Linked DNA regions of Oryctolagus cuniculus. The protein of the gene in region 3 interacts with the protein of the main gene of each other region in a pairwise test. Links are inferred from orthologs where the notes say so. Each region holds a gene or a part of one and is shown on either strand. Other genes may lie near its edges.

Region 1 (7,984 bases), on a different chromosome or scaffold from region 3:
CGCCCACCCGAGAGAGCAGTCAGACCTGTGATTGGCGGGAAGGCGGAGCTTAGCCTTGCCCGCACGGTGAAGCCTCCTGGCTGCCTTTGCCTTGCAGAACTGTCCATCATCAGCGAGTACGAGAAGAGCTTGCAGTTCGATGAGAAGTGTCTCAGCGTCATGCTGGCTGAGTGGGAGGCAAACCCCCTCATCTGCCCTGTGTGTACAAAGTAAGAGTCTTTAAAACCTTTCCCCCACTGTTGGTGAGTGCGGTCTCTCCCCGGCGTTGGAAAGGTTTGGGGAGCCAGATCTGGTGGCCATGATGCTCTGGAATCCCCATTCTGCTTCTAGGTACAACCTGAGAATAACGGGCGGCGTGGTCGCGTGCCATTGTGGCCTGTCCATCCCATCTCACGTAAGTGTTCTGCCCCGAGTTCCCACACGGATCTGCTTCCTGGGAGAGCCCCCAGCGACGGGCTGGAGCCCACTGTGCCCATCTCTTCCTAGCTTAGTGTTCAGGGATGTCACGGTGGCAGTCCAACACACATATGGTGAATGTGGTGAGAGTACATATGGTGTGCAAACTGGCAAACCTCACAGATCTCCACGGGCTCCTCCCCTAGAGCGCTGGCACTGCTTAAGAGAGACCCCAGTTTAGAACTGGAAATGCCCGTATGTGACCTTTCATTAAAATTTCCTGTGTGAAGACACACTTCCATTCAGAATGTAAGTTTTGGTGATCTTTAAAAATAGGGGAGGTGGTCTCTTACCTGACATGGGGACTGCAAATAGTCAGTGAGTTGAGCCGTTGGTTCCAGTGGAAAATTATAAAAATGAAACATACCACGGTAAATTTGACACCTCTTAAGTTTATTTACCAGTCTTTGAGTGGGGCTGTGCTGGGGAGCTGAGTCATTGTTTCTACATAGAAAACTCTTGTTTGTTAGCAATGGATAAAGCAACTAGTCATACAACTGTAGGATTTTTTTCTTTTTTCCCATCTTTTATGTATTTCAACAGCTTTTAAAAAAATTGATTGGCAGAAGTATATAAATGTGTGAATGTGTGTGTGTGTGTGTGTGTGTGTGTGTGTGTATAGAGGGAGGGAGAGCGGGCAAGCAAGCACGAGCCAGCCCCATTTGCTGGTTCACTCCCAGCAGCCCAAGCCAGGAGCTGGGAACGTTCAGGTCTCCCGTGTGCATGACAGGATCCCAACTACGTGCCCCACCATCCGCTGCCTCTTAGAGTGTGAATTAGCAGGGAGTTGGAGTGGGAGCAGATCCGAACCAGGCACTCCAATATGGGATGGGCCCATCTTAACCAATGTACCAAATGCCCACCCAACTTTTTCAAAAGCAACTTCCCTTTTTGAGTGCTTCCTGAACTTTCTGCTTCTCATCATAAAACTGAAACTTGATTTCCATCCCCTTTATTACTGGTTGCCATCGGAGTTGCAGTGGCAGCAGGTTCAGTGAGATCTCTGGGAGCAAATGCTGCCAGTTCTTGGCAAGGATACACCAGGCCAGGAGGGGCAGGGGCCGAGGCCGGGACCTGTCCTCCTAGCTCTCAAAGTTCAGGAACGGGGGGTGCCCTGGGCAATCTGGAGAGGTGGTGAGTGGACACTGGTTCAGAGATCCTCCCAGCAGCCATGAGCCCACGCAGATCTCCAACTGTGGGGGAGGAAGCCATCCCAGGGAGCCAGTGCTACGCTGGTTAGCAAGAGAAACCAGGATTTTCAGCCTGTCAGCTGTCAGGTAACTAAGACGCGGTTGTGGTCGAACTTTTTTTAGTCTCCAGAGCTGACGGAGCAGATGCTTCGAGCGTCTTTAGAGGACAGCGTGAATGAGCACAGCACCCATTGTCCCCACACCCCTGAATTTTCAGTCACCGGTGGAACAGAGGAGAAGCCCAGTCTTCTCATGAGCTGTCTGGTAAGTCTCTCCTGGGACCCAGTGGTTACCAGCAGCTCAGTGTTGTCTTCCCACTCTAGTAAAAATAATGGCTCCCAAACAGGTCAATGTTTAATGCAGTTTTTTTTTTCTTGGAGGAATTGCTGGCACAGAACTGTGAAGGCCACAAGTCATTTCAGCTGGAGGCCAATCATTGTGTGAAGGGGAAGAGGCAGCCTAGGAGTGGGGCAGGAGTGTGGGGGTGGGGGTGGGGGAGGGTCAGGGAGCCCACCTGCACTGTGCTTGTGTAGTCAGCTCGGTAGTCCTAAGACCCAGTGGGTCACCCTGACACCCCTGCAGGTGGGTACAGGACAGGACGCACAGCAGGGCCACCTTTCAGCAAGTCTTCAGAAGTCCAAGGATTAGTGTCTGGCAACTCAGGTGTGAGGGACAGGACTACACAAGGAGGTACTGGAGCCACCTGTCTTAGACGCCTTAAGCTTGCTACAGGAACCATTATTTCTTATAAGTGATATATTACATATACATATACACACACATATATTAAGGTGATCAGAAAGTTCATAGGGTATGGAAGTAAAATATTTTTATTTTGGCACAAAAATGTCTAAAATCTGTGCACGAGGGGTCTTCAGAAAGTTCATGGGAAACATGTATTATGAAAACTTGAGGTATGGATTTCATAGCGAGAGCTGGTTCCAGGACGGGCGAGCCCACTGTTGGGCGTTTTGGAGGGGAGGTGAGAAACAGGAGGAAGCACAGTGGTTCATCAGGCTCCCAGGGATGAACAGTCAAAGGTAGACATTCCAGCAAGCCTGGGAGGTCGGTCCACCAGCAGCCCCTTTGAGGACCAGCCGCTCTGGCTGAACTCATTCCCACTTGTAACTGAAGCCGACCAGCACCGTCCAGGGTGTAGACATTCTAATTGTTGCCTCAGTGTCATTACTGGTTGCAGCTTCTGGCCACGGATGTGGGTAACTTTCCTAACAGATATGTCCTGTTTCACTCCAGGCCTGTGACACCTGGGCTGTGATCGTCTAGAGCTGGCCTGCATTCGCACCGTTCTCCTGGGCCGACCACAACTCACTCCCTCTCCAGCAGAGGCCTTGTACATAGCAACCTTTAACTTATAATTTATTTTGTATTAAAACTTTTCAAACACCTCTGCTCTTGCTGTTTCGTGGTCTAGGTTGAAAGTCAAGGAACAGAAAAAACGAAGTACCTTGGAGGAGATAAAACCAAATTTATTGTCCATCATTGTATGTTATATAAAAATCTAGAATAAGTTTGTACAGAAAAAAATGAGAGTGCAACAGTAATAATTTAAATGTTATTTTCCATGATATTGGGATGGTAACCGTCGCAACGCACGGGTGTCTGGGGGTCAGAGCAGGTTCTGTTCGCTGGCCACAGCCTGCCAGACAAGTTTCACTGTCCCTACTCTACTGGCTCTTGACAAAACTTTTGAGGTCCTCAAGGAAAGTTATGTACTCCTGGTGCTCCAGGGCGGTGCTGAGCTCCACCAGCTCATCTGCAAAAGTGTTGTCCACCCCTCGGTCTGCCAGGAAATCCATCAGGTGGTCATACAAGGCCTGCGGAAAACAGTGTGTTACACTGTGTAATGCCCACTAATGACAATGCTGCTTTCTCTCCTTGAACAAGGCAGGACGCTCCCCTACAAGGCCCAAGAGCACCCCACCCTGTCACTCACCCAGTCCAGGGAGTCTGTGTTGAGTGTGTAGTTGGTGTCCTTCCACTCAGACTCGCCGGAAGCCTGAAAGCTAACTTCCCTGATGGAGAAAATGTCACTCTCAGCCTCCTCCTCTTGTCCGACCTGGGAAGGAACAGTGTTCCAGGAAACACGGGTTTTTCAGGACAAGCCAGACAGGTGCACGGAAAAGGGAGCACTTCTAGTGTGAAACCCCAGCTTTACCCTGAGCTGACTTCCACGCGCCACCTGTCTCCCGTGCTTTGCTGCTCTAAGCCACAGTCTCCCACAGGTGTCTGCTAGTCCCAGGAGGCACCCCTCATCTCCCTGGGTGTCAAGGGCCCACACTCCGTTCTACCCACCTCATCCTCCGGGAAGTGACAGTCCAGTACGAGGGCTTTCTTGCCATCATTCTTTATAACTTCAACCACGAAATTCGGAGTTGATGTCAGTTCAGGCTGAGGAAACAAAAACACGTCTGCGTGTGCCACTATAGGAAGGGGTCAGAGCCCAGGCCAGGCCTCCAACGCTTCTGAGCATCTGATGGCCACCCCTGTCAGGATGATATTTAGCCCTTTACACTCACTTTAAACCTGCATTCCAGCCCCAGCTCTATGCACTCAACTGAGACTCAGATCTCTCTACTTCCTGAACCCATTTCTGCACCCACACACTGCAAAGCCAGCCACACAGCCAAGATCTCTTTCCGGCTTGGCTGTCTCAGGAGTCTGTTACAGCCCAGGTCAGAGGCTGGCGTGCCCGGCCCTCAGTGACAGGAGCAGACCAAGCCCAAAGTCAGGGAGCTGCCAGTCCAGGCGGCTGAGATGGAAGCGCTCAGGGAGCTGGGCTCTCCTTGCAGGCGCGTGAGACAACTCGGTCAGAAGGTCAGAGACCCTCTGGCCTTCATACTGGCGGGCTTCCGGGCTGAGTATACCACTTCCTAAAATGTCAGAAAACCAGACACCCCCAGCTCCCACCGATACGGCCGGCAAGCCAAGATCGCACCTGGCCAAGTGATGCCATCTCTGCTGCCCCTGGCTTTCCTACTCTGGCCAGGTGACTGGTGCTTTCCACCAGCTTCTGACTTAGGAACATCCTCCCCCGGGGAAAAGAAAACGGTGATTTCTGATAGCACACATCTCCCCGTCATGGGAAGGACTCAGTTCTGCTTCCTGTCCACAGGCTCTTAGCTCCTCCACTCCTGGTCCAGCTATCTGCTAATGGGCCTGGCACATGGGTGACGTCCTGGATGGAGCTTCTGGCTTGAGCCTGGCCCAGCCCTGACTGCTGTAGCCATGTGGGAAGTAAACCAGAGGATGGAAGATCTTTGTCCCTGTCAGTCTGCTTTCAAATAAATCTTTGAAAACAAAAACAAGAAAACCTGGTGTTTCTCTAGGCCCCTGGGGGAGCTGAGGCACAGACTGGGCACGATATTACGAGCTTACCTCCTGTTCCTCAGCCTTCTGTCCTTGGGAGGACTCCTCCTCACCATCAAAGGTTGGTGGGATGCTATTGTTGATGTTGAAAGTGACAGTGATCCTACAAAGTCAAAAGAAACGCAACAGACATGGTCCAGTTGTAGTGGAGTAGTCTAGCCGTTAGGTATGGAGGCCTGCTACACAGAAACAATCTGATAGGAACGATGTTTCCCCTTCACCAGCTGACAGTCTACACTGGCAGAAGTGGACAGAGGCTGGGTACCCACATCCAGCCCTAAGAGGGAGCAGGTCTCCAGCACACCTCCATGTGCAGAGCTCCAAGTGATGACGCCATGCACCAGCTCCTCCCATCAGGCTAGCGCCTGCTGGTTACCTACCACCAGCTGACACTGCTCACTGGGGTGGGGTATCGTGAAAGTGAGCAGATAAGAAGCTGGGGGGATGGAACAGAAGCCCCTCTAGGAGCTTTTCTCGGGGCTGGTGGTGTGGCACAACAGGATAGGGCGTTGCCTATGATGCCAGCATCCAATACGGGCACTGGTTCGTGGAGTAGCTCTACTTCCGAGCTAGCTCCCTGCTAATGGCCTGGGAAAAGCAGTGGAAGATGACCCTACTGCTTGGGCCCCTGCCCCTCATGAGGGAGACCTGAAGGAAGCTCCTGGCTTCAGCCTGGCCCAGCCTCAGCTGTTGTGGCCATCTGGGAGTAAACCGGAGTTACAACTCTACCTTTCAAACAAACAAGTCTTTAAAAAGAAAAAAAAAAAAAAAAGCTTTCTCCATGACAAAATCTGCCGCTGGGAGGAAGGGAAGGCACACTGCGGGGATACACCTGAGGACTCAGAGCAGGCCTGCGCCCTGGAAGACAAGGCCAGGCAAAGGACAGTGCGTTCACTGTGGACTCATCCCACGGGCTGGAACACCAACACATGACAACCGTAAGGTACAAGAATCCTCGTGACATTCCATGTTCCGAAGGTTGAGTCACAATCCCTGTGACAGTGGGGTAGACCAGGTGTGGCTGGGCAGCGCAGACCCCGCACCCTGCACACCACTGCTCAGCTAACGGGCTGCTCCTTCCCAAGGCAACAGCGGCAGGCTGAGGCTCAGCCCCAGAAACTATCTGCAACCACGCTGACCAAGCTGAGTTCCTCGACACAGAAACACAGCACTGTTCATCAGGGTATCATTTCTAACGGCCCCAAACTGGCTACGAAAACCGGAAGAAAAGTTCAAGTGAAGCTTCAGTCGTCAACTGACACTGTGTATGGGCGAAACCCCTGCACCCTAGGGGAAAAAGCATCAGAACCCTACACTTCACACTGTACACAAAAGTTGACTCAAAGTGATCACGGGCCTAAAGAGCTAAACTCCTCTTACAAGTAAATCCGGGCATAAATATCTAGAAACTTTGGTTACCCAACAGTTTGTCAAATGTGATGTCAAAAAAGCACAAATGACAAAAAAACAAAAAAAAAGCCCACATACACAAAAAACAAAACCCAGTAAATTGAGCTTCATCAAAATTAGAAGTGTATGTTGGGGCCTGTGCTTTGGCACAGCGGGTCAACGCCCTGGCCTGCAGTGCAGGCATCCCATATGGGCGCCAGTTTGAGACCCGGCTGCTCCACTCCATACCTGGCTCTCTGCTATGGCCTGGGAAAGCAATAGAAGATGGCTTAAGTCCTTGGGCCCCTGCACCCATGTGGGAGACGCAGAAGCTCCTGACTCCTGGTTTTGGATTGGCACAGCTCTGGTCGTTGTGGCCAACTGGGGAGTGACTGCGTAACTCTTTCAAATAAATAAATAAATCTTTAAAAAAATAGTTCACTTGGTGTAGTCAAACAATAACTAAAAAAAGTGTATGTCAATACCAATAACATAGGGAAAGGAAAAAAACACCCAAGGATGGGAGAAAACACTTGCACACCCTGTGTCTGATAAGGGGAACTGCACCCAGAATATCTAAAGCCCACCTTTAAGGCAATAACCTGGTAACCTGGATTCAGCTCCCAGCTCCAGCGTAGCCTATACCTGGACATTTCAATATTTAGGGAGTGAAGTAGCACATGGGAGCTATCTGTCTTTCAAAACGACAGTAAAGGCCGGCGCTGTGGCTCAATAGGCTAATCCTCTGCATTGCGGCGCCTGGCACACCGGGTTCTAGTCCCGGTCGGGGCGCCAGATTCTGTCCCAGTTGCCCTTCTTCCAGGCCAGCTCTCTGCTGTGGCCCGGGAAGGCAGTGAAGGATGGCCCAAGTGCTTGGGCCCTGCACCCCATGGGAGACCAGGAGAAGCACCTGGCTCCTGCCTTCGGACTGGCGCAGCGCCGGCCGTAGCAGCCATTTGGGGGGTGAACCAACGGAAGGAAAACCTTTCTCTCTGTCTCTGTCTATAACTATCTGTCAGATAAATAAAATTAAAAAAATAAATAAATAAAAAACCAGAATCACAAAGTAAATAGAACCCTGTCAAATGCCTGCCAACAAATGAATGGATAACTGACAGAACAAGGACATGAGCCTCAGGCATTGTGGCTCTTTGCCTGAGGGACCCTTTACCTTCCTTCAAGAGACCAGCTCAGTCCTACGCCCTGTACTGTTGCCCACCCTACCCTCTGCATTCTGCATTCCATAGAAAAGCTAGCTCAGCTCCACTGCACCTCATGGCCCTTATCAGGCCTATGCTATTTAAATCCAGCCCGTAAATAAATTCCTGCTCTCTCGGCCACGTGTTCTGTCTGTGCGCATGCCAGTGGTTGGCCATCTTTGCAAATTCACTTGTCTTTTTTTTTTTCCTTTATGATTTATTTATTGTATTTGAAAGACAGAGTTAGAAAGAGATCTTCCATCTGCTGGTTCACTCCCCAAATGGCTACAATGGCCAGATGGAAACCAGGAACTTCTTCCAGGCCTCCCATGTGGGTGCAGGGACCCAAGCACTTGAGCCATT
Region 2 (7,329 bases), on a different chromosome or scaffold from region 3:
TCAAGGACTGATGTCTCAAGTCCTTGACACCCACGTGCGAGATCTGAATTTAGTTCCAAGCTCCTGGTTTTGGTCTGGCCCAGGCCTGGCTGTTACAGACAGGCATTTAGGGAGTGAAGCAGTAGATGGGAGATGGGTTCCTGTTCCCATTCTCTTTAACTCTCTCTCCCTCCCTCCCTTTTGCATTCCCTCTCTCCCTTACTTACCCTTTCTCTACCTCTCATTCAAATAAATAAATATCTTTTAAAAAGAAGTCAAATAACTTGGCCAAATCCAAATAGAAAAGACTGGCAAATAGAAGAGACTGGAATAAAATTAATGCCTTGATCTCTAAGCTGCTTGCCACTACTCTATAGCCTTACAAATGATTCAGACATAGGAATGCACTGGATTCAATTTCACTTGCATCATCTGTAGCACCGACTTGCTAGTATTCCAGGAAAATATCACTCACTTGGTCTCTGTGTTGCCCTGACCTTTTCCTCCATTCAGATCACTTCCTGATATTTTGGCATTTCCACTGGAGAAGTGACAAAGGTCAGACTTAGGTTCTTCTTTCTAGAACTTGTGGCCAGCTTGAGTGAAACAGTCTGTTGCGGGGAAGCCTGGGACTTCTGGATGCAAGCACATGTCTGGTGCTCCTGCCTGCGTCACTGTGCTCTCAGCTTGGCTTTCTGACTAAGGGGAGACACACACTGATCTGATCCTTCCAAACTCCCGACTTGTCTTCCAGTCCACAAAATAGGGAAGGCCCTTACTTCAGTGACTTCTTTTTCTTTAAGTTGAGGTTCTCGTTTATCGTAAGTTGATTCTCACACATTTCAACTCCTCCCTCCTACTCTCAGGTTTTTCTTAAAATAAACTGGAAAACTTCATGACTCTAGTTCATTCTGTTTTATTAATAGCCACTCATTCAAGATATCTTTTCTATAGAAGCAGTAACTTCTCAGTGAAAATGATTTCATAATATCTTCACCTATATAAACAGATTAAAAAAATACACAGGATTTAAGGGGATCAAATCAACTCAAATATGACAATATCTTAAAAACTACCATTCTAGAGCTATGAGGATTACACAAATTTATGCCTGTGGTGTAAGCTGCCTGGCACCTAGTAGGTGTTCAATAAATGGCAAATAGTTCTGCTCCACAAGGTGCAGACATTAAGTTGATCTGGACATGACCAGCAGAGGGCGCTCCCAGTACTATGAGGTTTGGTCAGCGGCCTTTTGGTCTTTAATCCAAAAGGCCTCTTAGATTTTCCTAGCAAGCCCTAAATCCATTAGACTAACATTTACTATATTATATTATCTCCCTTGATTACACAAGTAATTAAGCATGGTGGTGGCGTTTCTTAATGATAACTGATATTTAGAAATTTAATAGACGTGCAAGTAATTTTGGGTAGTGAAAAGTAAAATGCCAAGTTTTAAAGGTCACACAGGATGTGAAAGCACAAAATTCCCAAGACCTTTCCTCCAGCCTGTACGGTGGCAAGCAAGAGTAAAATGTATTAAACATCAAAATTATCAAAATATTTTATTTTGAAAAAAAAATTTAGTATCATGGTCTCAGACTGGCTTATCCAAATCCAATGACCACTAATAATCACGCTCTTTAGTTCATACACAATAACAGCCTACAAAGGCCAACCACTTCTGTCCTCTATTATTTTACTTCTATTCTATTTAATTCTAGTCTAGTATGAAGTTCAACACAGAGATAAATGTTCTTAGGGAGTAGTGTCACACTCCATGGCTGCAATTTCATAAATCTAGGTTGATCCTGACTCACTAGTGGACCTCAGAACTCTACAAAAACCGGGTCACTGTGAGCTTGATTCTAGGTTCAAGGTCTCTGCGAGGGATCTTTATTCCTTCTTCAAAATCCTACAAAAGCTCTACACAAGTCCTTTTAATAACTGCAGCAGAAAAATATAGCCCAACTGACATATTAGCAAGCATAACTTAGAGGAAAAGTTACTCTTTAATCCCTAATAATTATGATACACTTACTATTCACAATTCTTACACATGACATCACAATGAAATATGTATTATCATCATTCCAACTTTACAAATGGGGAATCTGAAACAAGGACACAAACATCACACTACCAAGAGTGGGAGGAAGGGTTCAAACTCATACCCTCAACTACCACCCTGTGCTTCTGTACAAAGGATCTTCAAAAAGTTCATGGATAATGTGTATTATTTTTTTTTTATTTAAGACCTTTATTAGCAGGTGCTTGCAGTTTGTTGACTTTTTTGAAAAAATCAAGTTGTAAACTTTTATTACAAATTAAAAATGAAGTTCTTAAAAATCTCAACTTGACCAGATATGAAACAATTTAAAAACCTTTAAAGGTGTATTGAGAAAAACCAGGCTTTTTTAAAAAACACGTTTGTCGTTACCAAAAAGAGACATCTTTAGGTAAAAATAATAAAAACCCCATGCTGCATAGATAATGCAGATAGTTCTAGTAATCTGGTCAATGGGCAAAAAGCAAGCACTTAAGGTCTTCAGCTCCAATCTTTTGTTCATTTCTTATTGCTGGAATTTCATATTCATTTCTTCTTGTTGGATGACTAAACCGGATGATGGTAGAGATGTTAAGCCGGCATTTACTCAGCCCCGCCCTGCTCAGCCTCGGGAGCGGACGAATTCTCAGCTGGTGGATCGGCTGCTTTTGTCTCTTTGCCATCTTGTGGTTTAGGGTTATCTGGGCGTCTGCGTCAGTAGTTGAAGTTGCGGCGGTACCAACGCTGAGGTGGCTGCTGACCCTGGGTCTCATCTCCTTGGTTTTCCTTGTCTTCTTCATTGCCGTCCTCTCTAGGCTGTCTTTGGCGAGGAGGACCTCTGCGGAATCGTGGTCTATAACCCCGATACATATTCTGTCTCACTGGTCTACCTTGTTCTCCTGCACCCTGGTTGTCAGCACCTTCCATCACTTCTCCCTGCACAGGAGGGTTGGAATACTGTGGTCGACGCCCATAGGGTCTCCGCATGTAGTAAGGTGGGAACCTTCGCCTGCGGTAGGGCCGGCGTTGTTGGGCCTGGCCTTCGGGAGCGCTCTCCGATCCCTCATTCTTTTCCCCACTCTCACTATTCTGGTAATTCTGCTGGTAATTGCGTGGAGGACCCCTACGACATGGGTAGCGTCTATAATGGTTACGGTCTGCTGCATATTTACTGCCTTGCACTGGAACTCCACCAGGACCTGTAACATTTGCTGCCTCCGCACCCTTTTCTCCTTCAACAACATCAAACTCCACAGTCTCTCCATCTCCTACACTGCGAAGGTACTTCCTGGGGTTATTCTTCTTTATGGCAGTCTGGTGTACAAATACATCTTCCTTGGTGTCATTCCTGTTGATGAAACCATATCCGTTTCTTACATTGAACCATTTTACTGTTCCCAAAACCTTCGTTGCGATGACCTTCTTGTCCCCGCCGGCGGGCGCCGCCAATGTGAGGCTGCCCAGGCCACCGCTCCCTGCGCCGCTGCCCGTGGTGCCGGGCTTGGTTTCCACGGCGCTGAGGGCGGGGGCGGCGGGCGGCTGCTGGGTCTCGGCCTCGCTGCTCATAGTTGCGGTGATGGTGACTGGGGCCGGCTGCGGCAGCTGAGGCTCCTCCCGGGGTGTGATGGTAACTAGGCCGGCGGTGGCGGTGGGGCTGCTCAGGGCTCTCTGGGGTCCGCTCTCCGCTCCCGCTACCGATCGAACTATGTGTATTATTTTTAAAAACATGCATTTCAAACATGTTTGTACCCAGATACTTCTCTTTAAATTCCACTTTCCATGAACTTTGAGGTTGCCTCATACAATGATTTATCTTTAGTGCTCTTCCATTTTAAGTATCAAAATATCAGCATTATTAATAATCCTACACAACATTAATTCTATTTCTAAATAATCTACTACTGTTTCAGCCTACTGTCGCTCCCCCTCTTCATGGAGGAACGACACTAAACCCTGCCTAGGCTTCATATCCGAGTCACGGCACCATTATGTCGCTCCCCGTCTTCGTGGAGGAACGACACTAGACCCTGCGCTGTTCTTTTGTCTGCTCGGCCCTCCCCGGGTTTGCTGCTGGTTCTTCCCAGGTTGGCTACCGTCCCTCCCACCTCCGTGGAAGGGCGGTTCCCCCTGCCACTTTCCCCACTTCCGCGGGGGAGCAGCACACCGCCAGCCGGCTCTCTCGGGGGCTGCACAGGTGTTCCTCTTAGATGTTCCTGGTGCATGTTGTCTCTCTCCTCCTTTATAGTCCTCTTCCACCAATCCCAACTCTGCTACCCACACGCCGAGTATGCTGCTCTCCTCCAATCAGGAGCAGGTCCTGCTGTTTATTGGTTGAACTGGAGGCAGCTGAGTAGAAGCTGTTTACTCCTCTCCCAGCGCCATATTGTGGGAGAGCAGATGCATAGAATAAGTCTTAATTCCAGTAACAGTCTAGTCTGAGTTGCTCCCCACAGATCCCCCTTTCTTTTTATTTTTTGGCGTTGATACGCGCCTGTCTTCGGTGCCCCGTGGCACACACTCTGCTCTGCTTGCTGGAGTTGCCCACAGGTTCTTACAAGTCCTATCAATCAGGCAAACCGAATCCGGGTCCTCTCTTCGCCATGTTGTGAGGTTTTTAGGCGCTGATGCGTGCCTGTGTTCGGTGCCCTGCAGCGCATGCTCTGCTCTGCTAGAACTGCCTGCAGGTGCTTACAAGCCCTACCAATCAGGCAAACCGAATCCAAGCCCTATCATCGCCGTCTTGTGGGGAGACTTATTGGTGTTGATAACGTGCCTGTCTTCGGTGACATGCAGCCGCTCACAGGTGCTTATCGTCTTACTAATCAGGCAGACCGAATCCAAGCTCTCTCATTGCCGTGTTGTGGGGAGGCCTTTCTATTTCTCTATCTCCAGGCATTCCTATTTCTCCTATTTTACTTCTATCTGCCAGCATTCCTATTTCTCTCATTTTACTTCTATACTTCTATTTCTCTTATCCCTGCGGCATCCCGGCGCCCGCCCCGAGGCTGCTTCTTGGCACCTTGCCCCGCAGCGGCTTCCCGGCTCTGTGCCACTTCCCGGCTTCGCGCATGCTCCGCGGTCTCCGCTCCCCTTCACACCCGTACCACAGCCTTGCGCTAGCCCCACGTTCCCTATCTATTCGTGCCCCGCACGCTCTCTCTGCGCGCGGCAGCTTCCGCAAATCACACAGCCTAGCTCACGTTTCCGCCACCGGTATTCAGTCTAAGTTCCCTGGGCTAACTTGGCGAATTCAACCTAGCTCACGTCTGCGCCTTTCGGTTTGGCTTCCCGTCTTTTGCTCCCCGGGCTAATCTGACGGATTCCAACCTGGCGGCCCACGTCTCTGCCTCTGGTTCCAGATTTTCGCCTTTTGCTCCCTGGGCTGACTTGAAGAATTCCAAGCTAGCTTACGTCTCCACCTCGGCCTGCCCCTGCGGCTTCATCCTCCCTAACATTTTTCTCTACCCGGTATGTTTCCTAACTTTTCTTCCAACAATATTCCCCTTTCATTTCTCCTGGCTTCTCCCCACAGTCCGTATCCAAGTTTGTTTGTTCTAGCTTTCACTTTCGCTTTCAACCTTAGAGATTTCTCCCAGCTTCCCCTCGTAGTCCGTATCCGAGTCTATGCCTAGGCTTTCAATAGCTTCTTCCGGCACCTTTTCCGTCCGGCTTTTCCCTAGGCTCTTCTAGTCTCTCTCTCCGGTATTTTCCCACTTCTTCCCATTTCTTCCCTCCTGGGTTTCCTATCCGAGTCACGGCACCATTATGTCGCTCCCCCCTTCATGGAGGAATGACACTAAACCCTGCCTAGGCTTCATATCCGAGTCACGGCACCATTATGTCGCTCCCCGTCTTCGTGGAGGAACGACACTAGACCCTGCACTGTTCTTTTGTCTGCTCGGCCCTCCCCGGGTTTGCTGCTGGTTCTTCCCAGGTTGGCTACCGTCCCTCCCACCTCCGTGGAAGGGCGGTTCCCCCTGCCACTTTCCCCACTTCCGCGGGGGAGTGGCACACCGCCGGCCGGCTCTCTCGGGGGCTGCACAGGTGTTCCTCTTAGATGTTCCTGGTGCATGTTGTCTCTCTCCTCCTTTATAGTCCTCTTCCACCAATCCCAACTCTGCTACCCACACGCTGAGCACGCTGCTCTCCTCCAATCAGGAGCAGCTCCTGCAGCTTGTCAAGTTGGTGAGTAGCAGCTGTGTAGAAGCTGTTTGCTCCTCTCCCAGCACCATATTGTGGGAGAGCAGATGTATAGAATAAGTCTTAATTCCAGTAACAGTATAGTCCGAGTTGCTCCCCACAGCCTACTACTAAAATGTAACATTAAATAAGGAAAGAAAATTCTCCACTTTTATGGTTTTCAATGAATCTCTTAGATTCATTTGAAAAGATATCACTATTGTTTAATACCATTTTAAACATCTTTAAAACAAGAACATTACAAAAATGTAAACAGAAAAGAAAAAAAGGCAAAACCTTCAGGGAAATCTACTTGTACTTGATGCTTGGTTTCAAAAGTTCTGGACTTGGTTTTGAAATTCTCAGGGAAGGAGGGTGAGAGGGAAGGAAGGACAGAAGGAAGAATGGATGGGCGAACTCAAGGAGATTAGGAAGACAGGAAGGTTAGAAAATTTGTGAGAAATGGTCTAGCCTTAAACCTCTGCTTGGGACTCCTGCATCTCATGTTGAAGTACCTGGGTTCAAGTGCCAGCTCTGTTTCCAATCCAGCTGTCTATCATGTACACTTGGGAGGCTACACACATGATGGCCTAAGTGCTTGAGTCACTTCCACCCACAGGAGATACGAAGATGGAGTTCCTGACTCCTGGCTTTGGGCAGGTCTAGTCATTCTACCTGTTGAGGGCAACTGGGAAGTGAACCACATGATGGAAGACCTCTCTCTCTCTCTCTTTCTCTCTTTTGCTCTCTGTCTACCCTGCCCCCCCAAACCTTTCAAATAAAATTAATCAATTAATTGATTAGTATAAAAATAGTGGGACAAATAAATCAGTGAGGAATCCATCACATTGTACTGACCAACAGAGGCCCACATTGAAATGCGGAGTTACAGATATCAAAGAACATTCCCCTATGCAAAGTTTAAAAGGTACAATAAGACATTGCAGAGACAATGACTGGCAGACACAGTGAAATTCTGGTGACTAAAGAAAACTTCTACAAGAAAACCAAGAATGGAATCAGGGCAAGGTAGACCTGGAAAGGTTTCACAAATGGATGGGTCCACTCTAAATGATCTTTCATACAGTATGCTATTTTAAAAGGACACGTCTAAAACATTTCTCATA
Region 3 (7,452 bases):
TGTTTAACTCTTACGCCCCCTTCAAACTTTCAGAGTAAAACAAAATACATGGGTTAGGCGGACGGGCCCTGAAGCTGCAACTGAAAGGACCACGCCGGAGCACTGGCCCTGGGGTGGAAGGATCAACACAGAAGAGTGAGGGACACAGCAGCAAGCCACTGCCTCCTCCGGGAAACAGCTGGCCATCAGCATGCACCAACAGGACGTGGGGGTGAGGGCTGCCTCCGGCCTCCCGCCGGCACGAGGACCAGGGCAGTGGGATGCAGGAGAAGTCAGTCTGCGGCTTAGGTTCCTCCCCCAGCTCTGGGGGCCCCAGGGCTCATCTCATGAGGCTGCTGCCAAGGCTACAAAGTTCCATGCGGTCAACACGGACGGCTCCAGTGCTGCTGTCTCGGGGTGCCCAGAACACAGAAAGTAGGTGACCCTCAGAGCTGGCCTATGTTGCTACAAGAACAATCCCTGGATACATCCTCCAGTGCTGTAAGGTTAGCAAGGACCAAACTCGTGAGCTGGATGAAGGCCAAGTTCAATGACTCAGCTAAGGTGGCTGCTTCAGATGTTCCGAGAGCCCTGAGCCGGGGAGCGAATGTGATGCGGACCAAGGAAGGGCTGCACGCTGCACATCCTGCCAGCTCTTTCACGTCAGCCAGCAACCAGAACGAAGCAAGAAGGCACACAGGTGAGGGCCAGGCCCCACGCGCTGCCAGATCTGTCACAGCCCTCACACAGCTCCCCAGAGGGGGCTCTGGCTTCCTCACCGACAGAAAGCCGGTCCAGTGAATTGGCTCCGGAGTCACCAGCCGGGCCTCCAAGGGCTCAGATTGACCAGAACGGATGGGTGGCAGGGGACACTGTCACAAATGACCCTCAAATGAAAGTGGAGACACAGACAAACCCACATCGATGCATTCCTGACGAAAACCAGTAAATGGCCCCCACAGGCAGGAGGCGTGTGCTGTCACCACCACCTCCGTGGTGACTGGCCGTAAGCTATGACTGCGTAGTACCAATCCCAAATTCTGTAATTTAAATCTCTCGGTGAACCCCTATGGCACATAACTTAAACACAATGTGCTATTTGCCCTGAAACGTCTCCTTTCAGAACTTGAGGCATCTGGTCCGGGGCGGGTGTTGTGGCGCAGAGGGCTGAGACGCTGCTTGAAATGCCCGCATCCCGTTAGAGAGCTGGTCGGACCCAGCTCCCTGAAACTGTGCCTGCGAAGGCAGCAGCACATGGCACAAGGACCTGGACCCCGTCACTCCCGTACGGGAGACCCAGATGGGGCTTCAGGCGCCTGGCCCAGCCCCACGTTGCGGGCATCTGGGGAGTGCATCGATGGCTGGGAGACCAATCTGTTTCTTCCCTTCATCTCACTCACTCTGTCTTTCTGTTGCTCTACCATTCGAGTAGACACACACAAAAAATCAACATTAGGAAAAAAAAGGACCCAAAGCCTCCCCTGAGGACTGAACATGCCCGGCGAGGAAGAACAGAGGAGAAGAGGCCGTCACACACGGGAGCTGCCTGGGCCCCGCTCGCAGCAGAGCCGGCTGCTGAGCAAGCTGACTGTGCCGGCTGCCGCTACCTGCTGTAGCTTCTGCTGGGAGGCACGGGGCGCAAAGCTGCCGAAACAGCGTGAAAAGGGCAACACGGAGCCCAGAGCTGCCACTGCCAATGAAGTGCTCTTACCGAGAACCACAGCGGAAAGTCACCTAATTACGAAAATGAAGAGCAGTTATCCTTTGAAAAGCATCACACAGGAAGGAGTCTTAACTCTCCCTTGAGATAAAAATGAAACACAATGAGCACACAGTATTTGCCGTCTCAGCGCAGCCCCAGGGTGAGCAAAAATGCACCTCCTTTTCTTGATAGACAGTAAACACAAAGTAAAATTAGACACACATCACCTCTGAGCACTCCTAAGTAGAAAGGAGAATGCTGACTACTAATGTTGCATACTAGAATGGAAGCGGACAGGCCCATTTTGTGTCTAACCGAGCAAGAGTCCAGGCCCCTCTACGGATGAGACGCAGACTTACATCATCTCTGTATTTTGACTTGTGAATCACCACTGCTTTGGAAGGGACAGTGGATTCTGGCTTCCGGATGTTAAACTCGGGCTTTGGTCTGGTCTGTTCTTGAAGATTCTTCCACTCATCTAAGGTCATCTCTTGAACTTGAGTTTCTTCTTCTACCTCCAACTCAGGAACTCTATAAGATGAATAGTCATAAAAAATAATTTTGACAGGGCTGAAAGGTCTACTTCATCAAAGACAGAGTTATTACCAAGAGCTGAGCACACTTTTGTGGTGGTGTATCTCAAATGTAAATAAGGTAAGAAAATACTTGAATCATAAGCTCCTGTATGCTAATTCCGTCATTTTATGCTATCATTTCCAACCAAAGATACTTCCTGCGTTCAAAGCGGTCTATGAGAAATGGGAACATCACCATCCAAATGACATTACCGTTACACTTCCCTACCAGTGCTCCCTTCCAGATGGCACTGCAGACAAAATGAGTAATTGTGGAAGAAAATAGTAGAAGCTATTGAAATAAACTGTAGGAAACCATGAATGGAAGTTTTAAAACAGTGGCTCACAAATGTATATTTTTGTAAGTATCCTTTTTAAGTTAATCAGTTTTAAAAACAGAAAGCTGACATATGGATCGATAGAAAAGATTCAGAATCCAGAAATAAACTCTCACATCTGTGGTCAACTGATTTACTTATACCAGGTTGCCAAAGGCAATTAATTCAGAGAAAGAAACAGTGACAAGCAGTGCTGGGATAACTGGATATCCACATGTACAAAAATGAAGCTGGACCCCTACCTCACACCATAAACACAAGAGCTACCAGTATAATATCTTGACATAAAACATAGGCATAGGGGTCAGAGTTGTGGTGTAGTGGGTAAAGCCACTGCCTACAATGCCGGCTACCCAAATGGTTGCCAGCTTGAATCCCAGCTGCTCCACTTCCCATCCATCAGCGGAGGACGGTCCAAGTCCTTGGGCCCCTGAACCCATGTGGGAGATCCAGAAAAAGCTCCTGGCTTCTGGCTTCAGTCTGGCCAAGCCCTGGCTGTTGTGGTCATCTGGGGAATGAACCAGCAGATAGAAGATTTCTCTCTATCTCTTGCCTGTTCCTCTCGCTCTGTAACTCTGCCTTTCAAATAAACAAATCTTAAAAAACAAAACAAAACAAAACAAAAAAAACCTTCGTAAGAGTAGATTAGCAATGGTTTATTCCATATGACATCAAAAGCATAGGTAAAAAAAGAAAAAGCAGATAAACTGGACATCATTAAAATTAAAAACTCTGGTGCTACCAAGGATGCCTCAAGAAAGTGAAAACACAGCTCAGAGAAAGGATAAAATACTTCCAATCAGAGATCACCCGGAATTCATAGCGAGTTTTTTCTATGTTGAGATAAATGACTCAACTAAAATGAGGCAACAATCTGAACATTTTCCCAAAGAAGATGTACAAGTACCGGGTAAGACGTGCTACATCTGGAGCCATCAGAAGTGAACATCAAAACCACCATGAGCTACAGCACTCCACAACAGAACACTTAACAAGTCCTGTCGGGGATGTGGGGAAATCGGAGCCCGTACGCCTCACGGGTGGGATGTAAAATGGTGTGGTCAGCGGGGAGAACAGCCTGGCAGTGTTCTAAGAATCTAGAGTCAGTACCCCACGCAGCAATTTCACGCTAGGAAAACATACATGCACATGAAAACTGGGACACAAATTGTCATAGAGTATTATAGGTGAAAGCAACCTAAATGTCCATCAATTGATGAATGGATACACTAAATAGGGTATTCTGGAATGGACCTTGAATACCTGATGCCAAGTGAGATAAGCCAGGCACAACAATACTTCTGCCTGATTCCATATAGATGCCATGTTCAGAAGGGGCAAATTCAGAGAGACCAAGAGCAGATCGGGGGCATAAGGGGCTAGGGGAGCGGGGCAGGGGGAGGGCCTGGTTTCCTTGTGACAAAAGCATTCTGGGACGGGATCATGGTGATGGCTGCAAACCACTGTGAATGTGCTCAAAGCCACCGAATCACAAACTTTAAAAGGATTAAAATTGTAAACTTTTTAAGTATTTTACCAGCCCACAAAAATCAGGCAAAAAAGAAAAGTACGGGCACACACCACATCATATATAAACCTCAAACATTATGTTAAATAAGAAAAACAATTAAAAGACTCCTCTAATGTAAACAGGAGGTACCTCTAGAATAAGCAACTTCACAAAAACCAAGTAGAACAGAGGCCACATGGGCTAAGGGGAGGTGATGTGGAAGTCCGTGTTTAATGGGTAGAGCTTCCATTTGGGGTGGTAAGTTCTAGAGGTGGCTATACATAACGTGAATGTAATTCATGCTAGCAAATTGTATATTTTAAAATTGTACAAATGGGGCTGGCGTTAAGCTACTACTGCAACACCAGCATCCTGTATGAGTGCTAGTTAGAGTTCGCACTGCTTCACATAGGATCCAGCTCCCGGCTAATGAGCCTGGGAGAGCAGCAGCAGATGGCCCAAGTACCTGGGCCCTTGCCACCCACGTGGGAGACCTGGATGGAGCTCCAGGCTGCTGTCCTCAGCCTGGCCCAGCAGTCGCTGTGGCCACGTGAACGAACCAGCAGATGGACAACCTCTCTCTGCGTCTCTCGGTCTTTCTCTGTAACTCTTTCAAATAAATAAACCTTTTTTTTTAAAAGGGTACACATAGCGATTTTTATATTATTTACATTACCATAATTTTAAAAAATTGATGTAATATCCTCAAACCATGGAATTGTATACTTTAAATGTCTGGGTCATAGAATATGAGAATAATAAAGTCGTTTAAAAGAGAAAAACAGCAAGTAGGGAATGGGGAGGTCATTACAAACATACCTTCACTGCAGGGCTAACGTAATTTAAGGATTTATAGATATCTATACAGGTTAATAACATGAGAAACACAGCAAAAAGAAGGCAGAAGTTAATCACAGAACATCCAAAATAGACACATTTGCACAACATTAAAATACCTGGTGCTAAGAAGGAAAAGAAAGCAGTGGCTGCCCTGAGGAGCAAAGAGGGGCTTCCTGCCAACTGGCAGTGCTCTGTACACCGACAAGCATGGCATGAGTCAGCACAGCTGTGCACCCAGCACTGGGCATTCACACTGCAGTGTCTGTGTATACTAACAGTGCGGCATGAGTCAGCACAGCTGTGCACTCGGCATTGGGCGTTCACACTGCAGTATCTGCACACTAACAGTGCGGCATGAGTCAGCACAGCTGTGCACTCGGCACTGGGCGTTCACACTGCACTGTGTGCACACTAACAGTGCGGCATGAGTCAGCACAGCTGTGCACCCGGCACTGGGCGTTCACACTGCACTGTGTGCACACTAACAGTGCGGCATGAGTCAGCACAGCTGTGCACCCGGCACTGGGCGTTCACACTGCACTGTGTGCACACTAACAGTGCGGCATGAGTCAGCACAGCTGTGCACCCGGCACTGGGCGTTCACACTGCACTGTGTGCACACTAACAGTGCGGCATGAGTCAGCACAGCTGTGCACCCGGCACTGGGCGTTCACACTGCACTGTGTGCACACTAACAGTGCGGCATGAGTCAGCACAGCTGTGCACCCGGCACTGGGCGTTCACACTGCACTGTGTGCACACTAACAGTGCGGCATGAGTCAGCACAGCTGTGCACCCGGCACTGGGCGTTCACACTGCACTGTGTGCACACTAACAGTGCGGCATGAGTCAGCACAGCTGTGCACCCGGCACTGGGCGTTCACACTGCACTGTGTGCACACTAACAGTGCGGCATGAGTCAGCACAGCTGTGCACCCGGCACTGGGCGTTCACACTGCACTGTGTGCACACTAACAGTGCGGCATGAGTCAGCACAGCTGTGCACCCGGCACTGGACATTCACACTGCAGTGTGTGCACACTAACAGTGCGGCATGAGTCAGCACAGCTGTGCACCCGGCACTAGACATTCACACTGCAGTGTCTGTGTATACTAACAAGTGTGGCTTGCTTTCCCAGGCCATAGCAGAGAGCTCGATGGAAGAGGGCCAGCTGGGTCCCGAACCAGCACCCACACGGATGGCACTACTTCAGGCCAGAGCGTTAACCTGCTATTGCACAGCAGTGGCCCCTATATGTATTTTTTAAAAAAATTCCAACATACATCAGGAAAACACAGGAATAGAAGCTATTTTAAAATACCATATTTTTCAGACTTAACTTGGGAAACATGTTCATATTTTACTTAATTATAAAAGGACTGAGTTAAAATTCAATCTCTGAAATTTGAAAGTAAAATAAATCAAATTCACCCAAATATCAAGTTGGCGACATGACCATGAAGAGAAACTATCTCAAATGATTTTAAATACAAACTGGATTACCGTCTCCCTCTAGGTAACTGTGCAGTGGTCATGTTACTGACGGCATTGTTGGCAATGTCACTTGTGACCTGTATGCATGTAGTCAATGAGTAATTGTGTGATGTCGCTGAGAATTAGGTTTTCAGAATGGTAGAAAAGGAGAAACAAATCTAAGAAAGTTTAGATAAAAATCCGCACCTTGGGGTCAGCACCATGGTGTAGCGGGTAGAGCCGCTGCTTGCGGTACCAGCATCGCATATGGGCGCCGGTTCGAGTTCCAGCTGCTACTTCCCATCCAGCTCTCTGCTGTGGCCTGGAAAGCAGTGGAAGATGACCCAAGTCCTTGGGCCCCTGCACCCACGTGGGAGGCCTGGAGGAAGCTCCTCGCTCCTGGCTTTGGATCGGTGCAGCTCTGGCCGTTATGGCCAACTGGGGAGTGAACCAGTGGATGGAAGACCTCTCTCTCTCTCTCTCTTTCTGCCTCTCCTTGTCTCCCTTTGTAACTCTGACTTTCAAATAAATAAATAAACATATATGTTTTTTATTTGACAGGTAGAGTTATAGACAGTGAGAGAGACACTGGTCTCCTGGTCTCCCATGCGGGTGCAGGGGCCCAAGCACTTGGGCCATCCTCCACTGCCTTCCCGGGCCACAGCAGAGAGCTGGACTGGAAGAGGAGCAACATGGACTAGAACTCAGCACCCATATGGGATGCCGGTGCCGCAGGCAGAGGATTAATCAAGTGAGCCACGGCGCCAGCCCCAATAAACAAATATTTTAAAAAGTGTATGGCTCCTTGGAACAATGGCTGCGTCTGAAGGCTGGGAAGTCTGGGGCCGGCAGTAACTTGTCTTGCCAGAAAGGAAAGAGACTATCTAAGATGTGTGTACTGAAAGGACTGGGGATCAATCCACAGCTCCTTCTAGCCAAAAACCTGCGCCAGGTTAAGCACCCACAAGCATAAGAACTCAGTGGCTGCACTGTGAGTTCATAGTGACCGGTAGAGTCCCCGGCACCTTCCCAGG
Region 4 (7,452 bases), on a different chromosome or scaffold from region 3:
AACCCAGTAAGTTATTTTCTCCCTCTTCCTTTTTTAGCACTCGAATCTAGGACCATCCTGCCCTTCCAGGTCTACTTACTGCCAGACTTTCCCCTTTGTTCACTGGAATTGCATCTGTTAGTTTCCAACTTCTCTCTGCCTTTTAGTTCCCTTTTTGGCAAGCCCTAACATGGAGCCAGGGATGGGGACAAGGGGTTCAAATCCCTGGGAGGAGAGCCTTGGGTATAATCTATTTTTCTAATAACACCTTGCCTTCTGTCACTTATCAGCTTTTGTCCTCTGCTTGGAAGGCTGAGGTCAATTCATGTTCTTGGGGAAAGGGAAGGTTGTTTGTGTTGCAGAAATAAAATGTTTATTTGCTTCTTTTGTGGAGTCTTATTCCTTCAAATGAGCAGACACTCAGAAGTGGTTTTCTTCCACCTGCTAAGTCAAATAATCTTTACAGAAAAAGTAATGCCAGCACCCCTTATTAAAATGCTGGTTCATGTGCCACTCCAGTTCTTTTTTTCTTAAGAATTATTTCATTTATTTAAAGAGTTACAGAGAAAGGTAGAGACAGAGAGGTCTTCCATCCACTGGTTCACTCCCCAGATGGCTGCAGCAGCTGGAGCTGCGCAGATCCAAAACCAGGAGCCATAAACTTCTTCCTGTCTCCCACGTGGGTGCAGGGGCCCAAAGACTTGGGCCATCTTCCATTACTATCTCAGGCCATAGCAGAGAGCTGGATTGGAAGAGCAGCAGCCAGGACTAGAACTGGTGTCCATGAGATGCCAGTGCTTCAGGCAAGGGCATTAACCCGCTGTGCCACAGCGCCGGCCCCACCACTCTGCCTGGCGGTTCACCTGAGAAAGCAACTGATGATGGCTTAAGTACTGATTTTGCCACCCACACCAAATAGGAGGTATCCCTGTCTACCTTTCAAAGAAATCTTGAAGAGTCCAGATTGGAGTCACCAGCTTGTGTCCTGTATGCTCCATTTCCGATCCAGCACATCACTAATGTGCCTGAGAAAGCAGCAGCAGACGACCAAATTCCTTGAGGCCCTGCACCCACGTGGGAAACCTGGATAAAGCCCCTGGGACCTGGTTACTGGAGAGTGAACTAGTGGAATGCAAGACCTTGTTCTCTAACTCTGCCTTTCAAATTTTTTAAAAACCTTTTGGAGAAATGACAAACCAATCTAACATGGAACATTTCTGTTTCTCAGAAAAACACAATTGCTACATAAGTCAAAGTCAATTTATTGTCATAGTCATGCCAAAAATGCTTAGCGGGTGCCGATGGTCACCTGCCACACTCGCACCAGGTTGTCTGTGTAGCCAGCAAACAGGGTCTGCAAGGGAGAAATGACAGGATGAGTTGTGAACTTCGTCCCACTGCAACAAAGAGGGCTTTTCTTTAAAGGACCTTAATTCTAATGACCAGACTGTAGCTGGTGGCTGTTATTCTTAGAGGAAGAAACAGCTGTTGATAAGAATACAATCATCTTAAAACTGATCAAATTAGTATCAGTGCATAAAAATGAAGGCTAATCACTACCTCCACATCACAGTTGAAAGGAACATGCATTCCACATTTCTTTCTTGATCATCCAAGCCATTTTAAAAAAATCACTTTCCTTTATGTCAAAAATAGCAGTATAGAGAAGAAATGTTGGAAGGTGAGTTAAGTGAGAAGTCAGACTTACCTGGCCATCAGCAGACCAGGCCAAAGATGTACACTGGGGTGGCTCTGCCTTGCTGCTGGTACTAATAACTTCTTGCTTCAGTTCATCTACAATGATCTTGCCTTCTAAGTCCTGAGAAATAGGTCAAAACCAGGGTGAGGATACTGTTAATACATTTATACCAGTGATACTTTTTAAGAAACTCAGTAACAGAGGTCCCCTCTCAAAAGCCCCTTTTTATAAATAGAGTCTCAACAGGATGATTTTGCCCAAGGGGACATGTGGCATTGCCTACAAGCATTTTCAGTTGCAACTACTAGGTATGGAAGAGGTTACATGGCCTGTTACCAACATCTTGTGGATAGATGTCAGGGATGCTAACACTAAACAGACCCACTACACAATTACACAGACCAAAAAGCCATTATGCAGAGGCTGCGTATTCTGCCATACATAATCACCCCTTTCAGTAAGCAAATATTCCCCTCCATTAATAATCCCAATCCAGGGAACTTTTCTAGGTCTCCACCAACAGCTTGATGGTTAGCATTTGTTTAGTATGTGGGACTCCCAGCATCAAACCCATATGGCATGTTAAGTCACATTGCCAGGATTCGATCTCATGCTTACCCAGATCTTGATGCTAGGGCCTGTGGCAGCACAGAGCCAGTAGCGGTTGGGGCTAAAGCACAGAGCATTGATGATGTCTCCTCCATCCAAAGTATAAAGGTGTTTGCCTTCATTGAGATCCCATAGCATGGCCTGCCCGTCCTGCAGATAGGGAAGGTGAGTCAGCAGCACAATGTAACCTCTCCCAGATGTCAATCCCACCCACCTCAGGATTTTGTCATCAATGTGCTTTTAAAGATTTTAGTCATCTGAAAGGCAGAATGATGGAGAGGAGAATAGATAGATCTTCTATTTGCTGGTTCACTCCCCAAATACTACTAACAATTGTAGCTAGGTCAGGCCAAAGGCCAGGAACATGACAGGGCTCCCACATGGATGGCAGGGATGTAACTACTTGAACCATTATCTGCTGCCTCCCAGGATGTGTCTCAGAAGGTAGCTGAGACTTGAACTAGGTACTCCAATATGAGATGTGGGCATCTCAAAGCAGCAGCTTAATGGGCCGTGCCACAAAACTCTCTTGCCCATCAGATCCTTCAGTACCCTGGCTTTCTTGAAAGCTACTGACTCTACCAATATTTATATCTACAGGCTTTTCCTTTAACAGAGGACATCAATAGCCCCATAAACTTTCTGATGGGTTATCAAAAAAATCACTATGATCATTTCCAAACAGGATCCATCAATTGCTTCAAGAAACTTTACAGAGAAAACATTTTTTTTTTTCCTTTGAACAGTATGTCTCACCCATGTAATTTTCAGTAAGTGACCTTTGGAAACATACTCTTGAATAACCTGGCTAATACTTAGTTTATAGTTTATGTCGAAGACCCAAGGTATTCTTTTTTTTTTTTTTTTTTTTGACAGGCAGAGTGGACAGTGAGAGAGAGAGAAACAGACAGAAAGGTCTTCCTTTTGCCGTTGGTTCACCCTCCAATGGCCAGTGCATGGCGCTGATCTGAAGCCAGGAGCCAGGTGCTTCTCCTGGTCTCCCATGGGGTGCAGGGCCCAAGCACTTGGGCCATCCTCCACTGCACTCCCGGGCCAGAGCAGAGAGCTGGCCTGGAAGAGGCAACTGGGACAGAATCCCGAGCCCCGACCGGGGCCACAAGGCGGAGGATTAGCTTACTGAGCCACGGCGCCGGCCCCAAGGTATTCTTTCTATGAGACTGTCCCCCTGGTTGAGACTCCTGGCCCCCAAATACCTTGCCTCCAGAAGCACAAAGGGATCCATCTGGAGACACTGTCACAGTGTTCAGATAGCCAGTGTGGCCAATATGGTTAGTCTTCAGCTTGCAGTTAGCCAGATTCCATACCTGTGTAAATGGGTGGGGTTACAGGTGAACAATTTAGCTCGTATCAGCCAGGACTGAGAAGAGTCAAGCCCAGCAAAAGGCTTGGCACCTTGTTTAAAAGCTTTTAAGGGATATCAATTAGCTATTTAAGACCAACTGTCAAAAACCAATGGTCTGTACTGAGTAAATCCAACAAGAGGAAAAGTCAATTGAAGGAATCCACAATGCCTAAGGGGTTCTGGCTTGTACAAGCCCTCTATGCCAGCTCAAAACTCACCTTGACTAGCTTGTCCCAGCCACAGGAGACAATGATAGGATTGCTGCTGTTGGGCGAGAAGCGGACACAAGATACCCACTCTGAATGGCTCTCATCCTGCAGAGAATGGAAAGGAAGTAAGAGAAAACATTTCTATCTTAAACTATAGAACTCCATCCCTGATCTCGGTGGAATGGATATTGGCAGTACTGTGTTCACATCTCCTAACTGAACCATGAAGAACAGAATCTCTTTAGTCAACACATAAGGCAAAGGTTAAAAGAAAGGGTGCATGGGAACCTTGAACATGTGTTTGCTGCCTTCACTTTACCTGGACAGTGTATTTGCATACACCCAGAGTATTCCATAACTTGATGGTTTTATCTCGAGATCCAGAGACAATCTGACGGTTATCAGAGGAGAAGGCAACACTCAGTACATCCTTGGTATGGCCTACAAATCGTCTTGTGGTGGTGCCCCTGAGAAAGACAGCTCTGTCACTCTAGACAAACTTTACCAACATTTTTCTGGCATTCGCCCCATCCCGGTGGACTGCATCACTAACAAGTCTTTTCCGAGTTTATGTCAGAGAATCCCTTCAGAATTGCAGGACATGTCCTCACTCCCACATGGGGATTGGCTGACAATGTCATCTGTCATCACCAGGATCCTCCATTATACTTGCCAACTGCTTATCTAGAACAGAAATTCAAGATAAAACTTGTTCCAACCGCTGTCTACTCCAAATTGCTACACCTATAAAAACATTCAACCAGGCTGGCGCCACGGGTTCTAGTCGCGGTTGGGGCGCTGCATTCTGTCCTGGTTGCTCCTCTTCCAGTCCAGCTCTCTGCTGTGGCCCGGGAAGGCAGTGGAGGATGGCCCAGGTCCTTGGGCCCTGCACCCCCATGGGAGACCAGAAGGAAGCACCTGGCTCCTGGCTTCCAATTGGCACAGTGCACCAGCTGCAGTGGCCACTTGGGGGGTGACCAATGGAAAAAGGAACACCTTTCTCAAAAATTCAACCAGACTACTTCTCAGCAACCATAATTAAATCAAAGGGCCCCCTGAGGGGCCAGTGCTGTGACACACTGCCAGCATCCCATGTGGGCACTGGTTCTAGTCCCAGGGTATCCTCTTGCAATCCAGCTCTTTGCTGTGGCCAGGGAAAGCCACAGAAGATGGTCCAAGTGCTTGGACCCCTGCACCCACATGGGAGACCAGGAAGAAGCTCCTGGCTTTGGACAGGCGCAGCTCTGACCACTGCAGCCATTTGGGGGCTGAACCAATGGAAGAAAGACCTTTCTTTGTCCCTCCCTCTCACTGTCTCTAACTCTCTCAAATAAATAAATCTTAGAAAAAAAAAAATTAAGAGGGGGCCCGAATAACTATCTTCTGTAGGTAGTTTTTACTTTATACTTCAACTTTCTCCTGGAAGATAACCTCCCAATTGCCATCTACCTCATTTCTTCCCAGCTTTTCCCCAAGATCCCACAGCTAGGTGAGCAGCTACTTGCGTTGTGAGATCCCAGAGGCGAAGGGTTCCGTCCCAGGACCCTGAGAGGGCAAACTGGCCATCTGAAGATATGACCACATCACTAACGAAGTGGGAGTGACCCCGAAGAGCTCGCTGCGGGATGCCATAGTTGGTCTCATCCCTAGTCAGCTTCCACATGATGATGGTCTTGTCTAAAGAAAGACAAAAGGGAAACTGGTGAGGAACTTTGCAGCCCACTTGCTGACCCTATTGAAAATTTAAGATGTTACAAAATCATATGTAGGTTAACACTTAAAAAGACACTTCGAGAGGAAACAAACTGTAGGTTATTTGCCAGGGCCCAGTGGCCAACAGTTCCAAAAAACAGGCAGGTGGGCCTAAACTGTAGCACGAAAATCTAACCCAGGTGTCAGAGAATACGGTTACCCCTTCTTGAGATTCAAACTAATTCAACATATATTTTGTATCTTGCCAGAATGCTTGAGAAAGCTGTGGAAAAATTAACTAAGTCATTTTAGCGCCCCCCTCTTAAAATTTCTCCTCCTACAAACCGATACAAGTACCATTGTATCTGAGGGCTCCTGACCATTTCTAATTATTATTCCTAACTTTCGACGATTTTTAAGCTGTTAAGAACACGCCTCCAAACTCGATAAGGTCTACATGGAGAGAAAATGGGGTGGATATTCGCAGAAAGAAAATGTAGATCGGAAATCTGAGCCACAAGGTTCCCTGCAGTCCACCCACTACCCAGCGAACTAAGAGCCGGGCGGCAGCTCAGAAACAGCCTCTGGATTTCTGCATGGATACTCAGATGGCATGTTGGGCTCATCACCGCCCCGCCCGGCCTTGTAGGCTCCTGGGCACATTCAGCTTTAGCTGCCAGCCAACCTCCAACAAATCTGGCAGCCACGAGCTGACAACACCTCCAGGTCTTATCTGCAACGTGGGCCCCCCGGGATGAGACAGAGACTCGGGTCCGCACTCCCCAACACGCAGAGGGATCTATGATCCGTCATATAACACGTTCCCAGTCTAACCCCGCGACACACACAACCGGGTACTAACCTCGAGAGGCGGACAGTATCATGTCCGGGAACTGCGGGGTGGTAGCGATTTGGGTAACCCAGCCATTGTGGCCCTTGAGGGTGCCACGAAGGGTCATCTGCTCAGTCATGGCGGCAGCGGGTGCGAGTGTCGCCGCAGCGACGAGGATGGCACCGGATAGCACAGAGAGCCCAGCAGCGCTGCCACTCCCGCCGCGGCCCTGCCGAGGAAAAGAGAGAACAGCCCCTTGCCGGAAGCGGAAATATCCTCACATTCGCGCAAGATGGCGTGGCCCATAATTCACCTCTGTTCAAGAGGGCGGCGCTCATGATTCCTCTCTGCTCAAGATGGCGGCGCCACGTAGCGCGACCGGCGAGATGAACTTGCTTCTGTGGCCCCCTCTGCCACGTACCACAATATAGCTGCTCCGTACAAATACTTTCTGAAACAGAGACTAGGAGATGTTTAAAAAGGCTCTGCAGATAATCATTAGAGCGTGAAATGACACAAGAGTTAACTGTACGGCACGTCCCACACAAGGCTCGCCTAAGGGTATCTCCGCCTACTGATGGCATGGAGCAAGCACCACCCTTTCCGTCTGGTGACTTGGCAACGCGGAAGGAGTTTAAGTTCTTTTTTTGTTTTGTTTTGTTTCATCAAAATTTGTGTTCTCATATTTCCGGAGCTGTAAGTTCCATATCAAGAGACCAGGATGACTGGGAGCTACTACTGTAGGATGAGCCCCTTGAATTATGATTTTAATGTGGAAAAAAAAGAAAAAAACAACTGCTCAAATGAACTACCAGAACTAACAAATTTCCAAGCGCCAAGGGTTTTCATGCGGGAAGTTTATGCTGTCTCTGATGGTGTTGGTTAAGGCCCTCCGTGTTGGAAAGTTCTTGCAGGATTAATGTAGGAGAAAGAACACTGCCACCTTGCTCCCAAAGAAAACACTAGAGCTCACGCCGAAAGGCCTCGAGAAGAAACTCTAGGTTCTACTGTCTGGGGACTGTGGTTGGAAGCTCTCCTGTGGGCCTGGTCATTCCACAGAAAAACCCAG

The links.
Region 1: the proteins of HABP4 (region 3) and C1QBP interact in a two-hybrid assay, tested with the Homo sapiens proteins (2 studies listed by BioGRID and IntAct). The link is inferred for Oryctolagus cuniculus from reciprocal best matches to the Homo sapiens genes HABP4 and C1QBP.
Region 2: the proteins of HABP4 (region 3) and Y-box-binding protein 1 interact in a two-hybrid assay, tested with the Homo sapiens proteins (2 studies listed by BioGRID and IntAct). The link is inferred for Oryctolagus cuniculus from reciprocal best matches to the Homo sapiens genes HABP4 and YBX1.
Region 4: the proteins of HABP4 (region 3) and RACK1 interact in a two-hybrid assay, tested with the Homo sapiens proteins (2 studies listed by BioGRID). The link is inferred for Oryctolagus cuniculus from reciprocal best matches to the Homo sapiens genes HABP4 and RACK1.

The regions. Positions count from the first base shown.
Region 1 is NC_091448.1:50,899,120-50,907,103, reverse strand, and holds the end of C1QBP (complement component 1 Q subcomponent-binding protein, mitochondrial), read right to left. Parts: intron 5,137-7,984; coding exon 5,043-5,136; intron 4,056-5,042; coding exon 3,960-4,055; intron 3,724-3,959; coding exon 3,601-3,723; intron 3,482-3,600; coding exon 3,332-3,481; 3' UTR 3,113-3,331; downstream 1-3,112. Other genes in the region: RPAIN (RPA-interacting protein), read left to right, coding at 98-209, 331-394, 1,770-1,910, 2,901-2,930.
Region 2 is NC_091434.1:59,355,288-59,362,616, forward strand, and holds Y-box-binding protein 1, read right to left. Parts: upstream 3,767-7,329; 5' UTR 3,752-3,766; coding exon 2,738-3,751; 3' UTR 2,216-2,737; downstream 1-2,215. UniProt on the Homo sapiens protein: DNA- and RNA-binding protein involved in various processes, such as translational repression, RNA stabilization, mRNA splicing, DNA repair and transcription regulation.
Region 3 is NC_091432.1:141,254,293-141,261,744, forward strand, and holds part of HABP4 (intracellular hyaluronan-binding protein 4), read right to left. Parts: intron 2,213-7,452; coding exon 2,041-2,212; intron 1-2,040. UniProt on the Homo sapiens protein: Ribosome-binding protein that promotes ribosome hibernation, a process during which ribosomes are stabilized in an inactive state and preserved from proteasomal degradation.
Region 4 is NC_091445.1:34,929,409-34,936,860, forward strand, and holds the end of RACK1 (small ribosomal subunit protein RACK1), read right to left. Parts: intron 6,980-7,452; exon of another isoform or gene 6,835-6,979; 5' UTR 6,523-6,834; coding exon 6,414-6,522; intron 6,187-6,413; exon of another isoform or gene 6,119-6,186; intron 5,537-6,118; coding exon 5,365-5,536; intron 4,518-5,364; exon of another isoform or gene 4,439-4,517; intron 4,327-4,438; coding exon 4,179-4,326; intron 3,965-4,178; coding exon 3,869-3,964; intron 3,613-3,868; coding exon 3,502-3,612; intron 2,438-3,501; coding exon 2,297-2,437; intron 1,799-2,296; coding exon 1,688-1,798; intron 1,334-1,687; coding exon 1,268-1,333; 3' UTR 1,222-1,267; downstream 1-1,221. UniProt on the Homo sapiens protein: Scaffolding protein involved in the recruitment, assembly and/or regulation of a variety of signaling molecules. Interacts with a wide variety of proteins and plays a role in many cellular processes.